Linked DNA regions of Tribolium castaneum. The protein of the gene in region 2 binds, or shares a complex with, the protein of the main gene of each other region. Links are inferred from orthologs where the notes say so. Each region holds a gene or a part of one and is shown on either strand. Other genes may lie near its edges.

What was found.
Region 1: CycA (region 2) and Cdk1 share a complex: the UniProt entries of both Drosophila melanogaster proteins name them as parts of the frs-CycA-Cdk1 complex. The link is inferred for Tribolium castaneum from reciprocal best matches to the Drosophila melanogaster genes CycA and Cdk1.

The regions. Positions count from the first base shown.
Region 1 is NC_087401.1:17,534,450-17,537,667, forward strand, and holds Cdk1 (cyclin-dependent kinase 1), read right to left. Parts: upstream 2,043-3,218; 5' UTR 1,835-2,042; coding exon 1,161-1,834; intron 1,104-1,160; coding exon 857-1,103; 3' UTR 790-856; downstream 1-789. Other genes in the region: transmembrane protein 53, read left to right, coding at 1-152, 201-329, 378-539; CCT6 (T-complex protein 1 subunit zeta), read right to left, coding at 2,250-2,465, 2,516-2,667. UniProt on the Drosophila melanogaster protein: Plays a key role in the control of the eukaryotic cell cycle. Required for entry into S-phase and mitosis.
Region 2 is NC_087402.1:7,980,511-7,984,972, forward strand, and holds the start of CycA (G2/mitotic-specific cyclin-A), read right to left. Parts: upstream 2,968-4,462; 5' UTR 2,777-2,967; coding exon 2,630-2,776; intron 2,575-2,629; coding exon 2,140-2,574; intron 1-2,139. Other genes in the region: exosome complex component RRP43, read left to right, coding at 3,256-3,272, 3,326-3,500, 3,545-3,839, 3,886-4,006, 4,054-4,261. UniProt on the Drosophila melanogaster protein: Essential for the control of the cell cycle at the G2/M (mitosis) transition. Interacts with the Cdk1 and Cdk2 protein kinases to form MPF. G2/M cyclins accumulate steadily during G2 and are abruptly destroyed at mitosis.

The DNA.
Region 1 (3,218 bases), on a different chromosome or scaffold from region 2:
TAAAAGGAGTGATTTTCGACTCAGCGCCCGGAAAACGTCGCGTTCTGAGTCTGTTTCGGGCCATTTCGGCAATTTTGGGTGGAAGGCCCCTTTACAATATTCCCGCTTCAGTCCTCATGACTATGTTTTTGTCTATGATTTGGTTATACGAGGTGCGTTCGCACCAAAAACTTTAAATATTCCTTGATTTATTATTGTAGGTTGTTAGCAATTACATCAGTCCGAAAAAAACGTTCCAATCGAACCCGTTAGAAAACTTGAAAGATGATAAAAACAACTGTCCCCAACATTTTATCTACTCGAAAAAAGACATTCTTATTCCTTATACGGTAACCATCTTAACTATTGTAGCCAATCATCTTTTTTTTTTTTTCAAGGATATTGAATATTTCGCCAACTATCGAAAATCTCTGGGTATCGATGTAACAACTCTCTGTTACGAAACAAGTCCTCATGTTAAACACTACACCGAAAATAAAGAAAGTTACGTGAGTAGCGTATGCAATTTTTTAAATAAATGCCTAAATGGCACAAATTAATTCACACAAAAAACATTTCAACGCTTAATTAAACTTTAGGGTACAATTTATTTTTCTAGACGTTGTTGAATTGCACAAAATGTATTTATTTCAATTGTTTCATTAAAACTATGTTCCCAAATGATCTGCTTTATGTTGCGCCACTGTCCCGCATTTCCTTTCACTGTTACCATAGCTACATTGACGCATCACCATAGCAATATACACGTGCAGCTCGTGCATGATGTATTAAGGAGGTTTTCAAACACAAAAGATTTTTTAAACAAATATATTTAGAAAATAGTCATACTAAACACGATAAACCTAAACCTAACCGCTTATTTAAGGATCGGCTTTATTGACGTATCAACCTTTTGCAAATACGGATGTAAAGCGATTTTTTTGGCCGAAATCCTCTTGGCCGGGTCATAAATCAGCATTTGTTTCAACAAATCTATAGCGTCGCTAGTCATATTTTTTACCTGACTTTCCAAAGTACATGATTTCCAATTAGGGAACGTAACCTTATATTCAGGTAATGTGGACACCCCTGGCCAGATTTCGTCGCTTGGTGTTTTCAAAACCCTGAATCGAAAAAAAATGCAAGTTGTTTTCGTTTCTATAGTTACATGATTTGATTACCGAAAAATGCGGAAAAGTTGGTCGATTTCGGAGTCGCCTTGGAAAAGGGCTTTTTTGTTGGCCATTTCGGCGAAAATGCAGCCCAGAGACCAAATATCAATAGGGCACGAGTAACGTGCAGAGCCGAGGAGCACCTCGGGGGCGCGGTACCACAAAGTGACAACTTCGTGCGTGTAAACGCGAACCGGGACCCCAAAGGCGCGCCCTAGTCCAAAATCGGCCACTTTGATAGCCCCTTCGGAGTTGATGAGCAGATTTTGGGGCTTAAGGTCGCGATGAAGGACTCGTCTTTGGTGGCAGAAGAGAATGGCTTCGTTGATTTGGTAGAGGTAGCTTTTGACGAGTTGGGGGTCCATGTAGGAGCCCTGTGGGATGGTGTCGAGGTACTTCTTTAAGTCCATTGACAAAAATTCAAAAATTAGGTAAAGACGATTCTCTTCCATCATCACGTCTTCCAGGGAGACTATATTGGGGTGTGTGAGCTCCTTCAGGAGGGAGATTTCGCGAATGGCTGTGGAAGGCACACCTTCGTCTTCGGGTTGCAGTCGGATTTTTTTCATTGCGACTAGCTGACCCGTCTTCTTGTTTTTGCCCTTGTACACCACACCGTAAGTGCCTTCACCAATTTTTTCGATCTTGAGGAAGTCATCCATGTTGGCCCCCTGTTTCGACATTGCCCCAATATAACCAAACTTTCCACTTAAAATGACGTTTATAACGTCAAATTGCAATGCCTACACGACCACAAACACGATATTTTATTCAAAGCACACGAGTTTTGTTAATTTTTACACACTTTTAACGGCTCGTTTGAAGAAATATGGAGAAAGTTCGTTGGAGATTTTTGAACCAACCAATCGGGTACAATTATCCCCGTCTCTATCGCACTCACGTCAATCACAATAACCTGTCTTTTTTTTGGCGTAAATAGACACACATTACCAACTTCAGACACACAAAATTACTATACGATCGCCAAATAATAGCTTTGGCCAAAAAATGGGTGTTAAAATCCTTTATTATTGTTGTATAATAATTACAAAATCAAGCATTAATACGTGAATAAAATTACTGACAAAAAAAATCCATTTAACCTTTCAAACTGCTCATTCCGGCTCTCATTATTTCATCAACCAACAATAAATTGCTTGCAATCACCGAACACGAATTAATTATTTGTTTCTTCACGATGTAATTATCGAAAATTCCGGCATCTTTCGGATTAATCGGTTGTCCTGAAGCTAAATCAAGCCCAATTGGTTCCTTATTGTTACGAGATTCTTCTTGAAGTTTTACAATAGTATCCTAAGAACAACAAATAACTATAAAACAATCAATGAGAAAATCACACAAACCTGAGCATCGAAACCAGAATTCGTTGCCAAAACTTTGGGAATTACAAGAAGGGCTTCCGCGTAAGCACCAATTCCAAGACGCGATTTTCCTTTAACGGTGTCCTTGTAAGCCATCAATTCTTTGTGGGCGGTCACCTCAAAAGCCCCTGCGCCTGAAAAATATCACAAAAAACTGTTTTGTGTGCAAAATCAATTTGAATTAAGCGCTATGACATTTAGTGATTTTATTGGTACGGTTGGTAGCGAAACAATTGGCGGTGCATCAAATTTCGTGATGGCCGCTTACCGCTTAGTAAATTCGGGAAAAATCGCTGTTAAATCGGTTATTTCGTGCAAATGTTTGTGCAAAAGTGTTCAAAGACTTTCAGTGTTCCGATGTGTTGATCTAAACGGCGATTTTCAACATTGACAAGTAAGTACCGAAGTTGGGTTTTTGGTGATGGGAGTAGTTGAAGCAACTCGTAAATTCAATTTTTGAGCTCTATTTTAAACGGAAAACGCATTGTGAGTCTAATAAATTAACAATTGTGTGGCCAGGTCAGGTCATTGACCCCTATTTACAATTTCAAAGCCTAGTAACGCACATTTTTAAGACGCGTCACAAAATGACTGTGACGTCATCCATTAAGCAACTAGATATTTTGTTAATTTCGGGAAATGAGTGAGTTTCTGACTGAAAAATAATGCGCTGGAACCTTAAAAA
Region 2 (4,462 bases):
GAGGACCAATCACAGTTTATGCATTATGCTTAGTATCACTATCATATTTATTTCAAAATCATGAACTTTGACAGAGAAAGTGGGTTTCCGTATAAATTTTCAAGTTTAGACCGCAAAAATGGTTTAAATACGGTTTTCTAAGTTAAAATGCTCTATTTTCCTTTTTTGAAAAATAGTATATTACGTAAAGTGTAATCTGATCAAACCGTTTTGCTGTAGGACTTTTTATATTTCGAATTATGATTTTTTTTAATAAAAAATTTAAAATGTTTCTGTAAGCGAAGCCATTTTCCGGAGCGGTTTCGAGTTTTTACGAAAACATAGATAATTTAAAACGCATTCTTATTCTTACAGTGCGCACAAAAGTTATCGCAAGACATGATTTTTTTTATAATCATATTCATTGGAATTCGAATTATTGGAGTAACGTAATATTTTTTAAATAAGTCTCAGTTCTGCTTACACACATCCGACAGACGATTACCAGTTTACGAGAAAAACGAAAAAAATTATCCTTTTTTTCAGGCGCCAATTAGGCGAAACTATTGAAACAGACGTCAAAAGCTCTACAAACTGGCGTGGGTTTCAAAGCGATAACTCCAAAAAAAATCAATTGTGAAACGCTAGTTACGGTGAAATTAAAAGAGTTACGAAAAAAATCCTATTCCATCGTAAATTACGACAAAACTAATAAAATATAGGTTTAGTAAAGTAATCCGGAGAATCGTTTGCTGTAGAGAAAACTGTCAAATTCTTCATAGTTTTCAAGTTAACAACATATAATTTTTACCTAATTTTGCTTCTTTAGCAATTTTCTCGGAAACTATTAGATGAAATAGGTAGAAAAATGACATTATCATTTTAAAAAACGATAGATAACACGGGCGAACATAGTTTTTAGTGTTTACAATATTGTTGTCAGTTTTTACCAATTTAATTTACTGCTATGACGACATAGCAATAATTTTTACTTATTTCAAAAAATTAAATAAAACCACTCGGTTTTTGCGCTTTTACCTCTCGTGAGAGACATGTTAATTACAACATTACTGTTGGTCCATAAAATGTGATCTCCCAGAAGCAATCCATAAAAAAAACACCCATACGATTTTTTTTAAACGCGAGAGGTATCACATCTAATATTTGAAATTTTTAACTCAATAATTCACTATTAAAAATTTATAATAAACTTTTTTTTATTTGTAAATGTGGTAGAAAAGAAAACAGTGGGTACTACAGAAATCAGAATACAGGAAACATAAAAAACATCTTTGGCTTGTGATAGTTAAAAAAGCTTTCCAAAAATAACAAACTTGATGGGGTAAAGTCTAACAGTTCCTAAATTATTGGCCGATAAATGCTCCAGAAATCGAACTAAATCTCAAAAAAAATCAGTTTTCAAACACGGATACGGTGAAACTGAAAGACCAGAAAAAAGTCTTATTCCATCGTAAAGATAAGATTAAGATTTATCAAACAGAATGTTCAGTAATTTTTCATTTTTTATTTACTCAATTACAGCAAAAGTATTCGAAAAATGGAACCACTTTGATACTCCAATGTAATATAATCCGAAGAATAGATTGACGTCGAGAAAACGGCCAAACTTGTAACAGTTTTGAAGTTATCTACAGAAATAATTTCTTTCTATTTTTGCATTTAGTAGCAATTTCTTCAGTCGCAGATAGAAAATAAAAAAAGCTTTTCAACGATCAATCTTAATAAGGTCGTGGAAAACAGTTCCGGAGTTATTGCCCGATAAATGCTCCGGGTATCGAAATCAACCAAAATTTTCGCAAAAATTGATAAATCTGATTTTATAAAACCGGTTCAATTGACGCTTTTGGCACATCTAAAGGCTCTAGAGAAAAGTCCACAAAAGATAGTTTTCAAGTTATAGGTAAAAATCGTAAATTGAAGTGTTCTCATGTTTTTAACATATCACAACGTAGAGTATGGAATATAATATACGAAATTAAAGCCATAATGAAATTTCCCGCCCCGAAAGTATTTCAAAAAAAGTCAAAGTTGTTAATAAAAAGGGCTTCAATCTGTTTTTTTTTTTTTAATTGAGAATAAATGTCAATGGATGTAAAAAAACTTGGAATAATTTTCTCGTCGTTCTTGAAGATACTTTACCTCATGTTCTTTGAGATAAGCAAAAATGCTATCCCTATACTCCTCCATTTCAAAAAAGACATCTCTAGCATTGGTATTTGTGGAAACCGTTTGCTCTTTGAGCTCAATGTTCTCCACATCTGATTTCTCAATGCTCATCGGAATCTCCGATTTTCTCTTAAGTTGAGGCGCAGTAATTTCCTTCAATTTCTCCAAATTCTTTTTCCTTTCAATTTCGGCAAGTTCTGTCTTCGTGATAAACCTGTCCTCGGCCGTCCCTTTATACACATTACTCTTACTGATAAGTTTGAGCCTTTCATCGATTCTCGCTCTGTATTCATCATCCTCATACACAGTAAACGCCTCAAACTGGGCCACCGGAACCACGACATTCTTCTTATTCTCGTTTTTTTGCCCATTTTCCACCCGGTTTCCCAAAACGGTTGGCTTCTTCGTCTGGCAAAAAAGCAAACGTTTTTCCCATCCAAAGTTACCTCCAACTGTTAATTACCTGTTTTCCTTTAAGGGCTGCGTTATTAACTTTATTACTGTCAATCTCGCCCAGAACGCCCCGTTTTTGCTGGGCAGTCGTTCCCGGTTTTCGGCGCAATTCCGGCACCCGGTTTTCCTGGTCCTGGTGAATTCTTATCGATGCCATTCCTCTAACACACGTGCAAGTTTCTAATACCCGAAAAACGAAAAGTTTGCTGAACCGAAGGCCAAACTGAACCCCAACTTAAACACCCAAGCTACCCCTAACCGACAAAACGACTGTTTTTAACGGCCAGATGCAAAGAGCGCAGAGTGCGGGAAACGAACAGCTGAGAGACCGTTGAAATGACAAACGGGACCAATGGGAGCCCAGATTTAAGCAACGTCACACGAGTGGGGATAACATGTTTTGAAGGGTTTAACGGAATTTTGCACTAAATCAAAAATCAATCGACAATACTTGTTCCCAACCAAATGCCCTATTTGCAAGCAAATGTCTTCATTACAAAAATTGCATTATTCAACCGAATTTACTCGTTTCAAATCAAACGTTTCCCCCACCGTTGTCGGCAACCAATCAAAACTAACGTCATTAATAATGTCAATTGTCAAAAACGAAAAACGTGGTTATAAACAAATTCAATAATGTCAGAACAATACAAGTAATAATTGTAGTACTGTGAATAAATAACAAGGTGATTATCCTATGTTTTAGGATTTTGCACCCCGTCAAGTACTTCCGCGACCACTTGGCCCACAAAATCCGACCTGATGGGCGCGAATTTGGGGAATATCGCCCCATCGTGGTCAATTTGGGCTCAATTTCGACAGCCGATGGGTCTGCGATTGCCAAAGTTGGTCGCACGACGGTAGTTTGCGGCATTAAAGCGGTGAGTGTAATTGGAGGCATTCAATTTGCTAAACCAAACCTTAGGAGTTGTGTCAGCCCAAGGCTGAGGCTGCAAACGAGGGGTTTTTGATCCCCAATGTGGAATTACCACCGTTGTGTTCGTCAAAATTTCGGCCAGGACCCCCAACTGAACAAGCCCAAGTAGCGACCCAGTTAGTTGCCGATATTTTAAAAAACTCTGATTGTTTAGACTTAAAAACGTTATGTATATTTCCAGACAAATTAGCTTGGTGTTTATATGCTGATTTAATTTGTTTGGATTTGGATGGGGCGTTGATAGACGCGTGTGTTGTTGCGTTAATGGCAGCGCTTAAGTCAGGTAAAGACAATATTGTTTTTTTGTGAAAAATATAATTGCGCTTCAGTTACTTTGCCAGCGGTTCAGTACGATCCAGCCCTTGACAACAAGCAAGTGAATGTGCAAGAGAGGAAAGCTCTTAGTGTTACCAACACTCCAATAGCAACAACGTTTGCAATGTTTGATGAGTAAGCTTATCATTGTTGTTGTAAACTTTTTAATTTTTTGATTGTAGTAAAATTCTCATAGACCCAACAGTGGATGAGGAGGACTTAAGTACGTCTTTGGTGACAATTGTGGTGAAGGAAGAAGAGTTGTGTTTTGTTCACAAGCCAGGTGGCTGTGTTTTTACGGAAGAGCAACTTTTAAAGTGTGTGGAAGAAAGTACAAAACGTGCAACTGTGATTGAGGAAATTATAGAAACAGCTTTTAAAAGTTTATAATAAAAACATTTTTTTTTATAAATGTATATCCTATATTATTTAAATAAAAATTTTAACAGGTTCCACAGTAGGTTGTGTGATCATTTAACCGAATTTAAAATTAAATCACCACACATTTATAAAAAAATCTATTGTCTTTGTTACAGGATTGAAAAAATAAAAATCGGGAAAAATCAACACTTTACATTTTAACGAGTATAC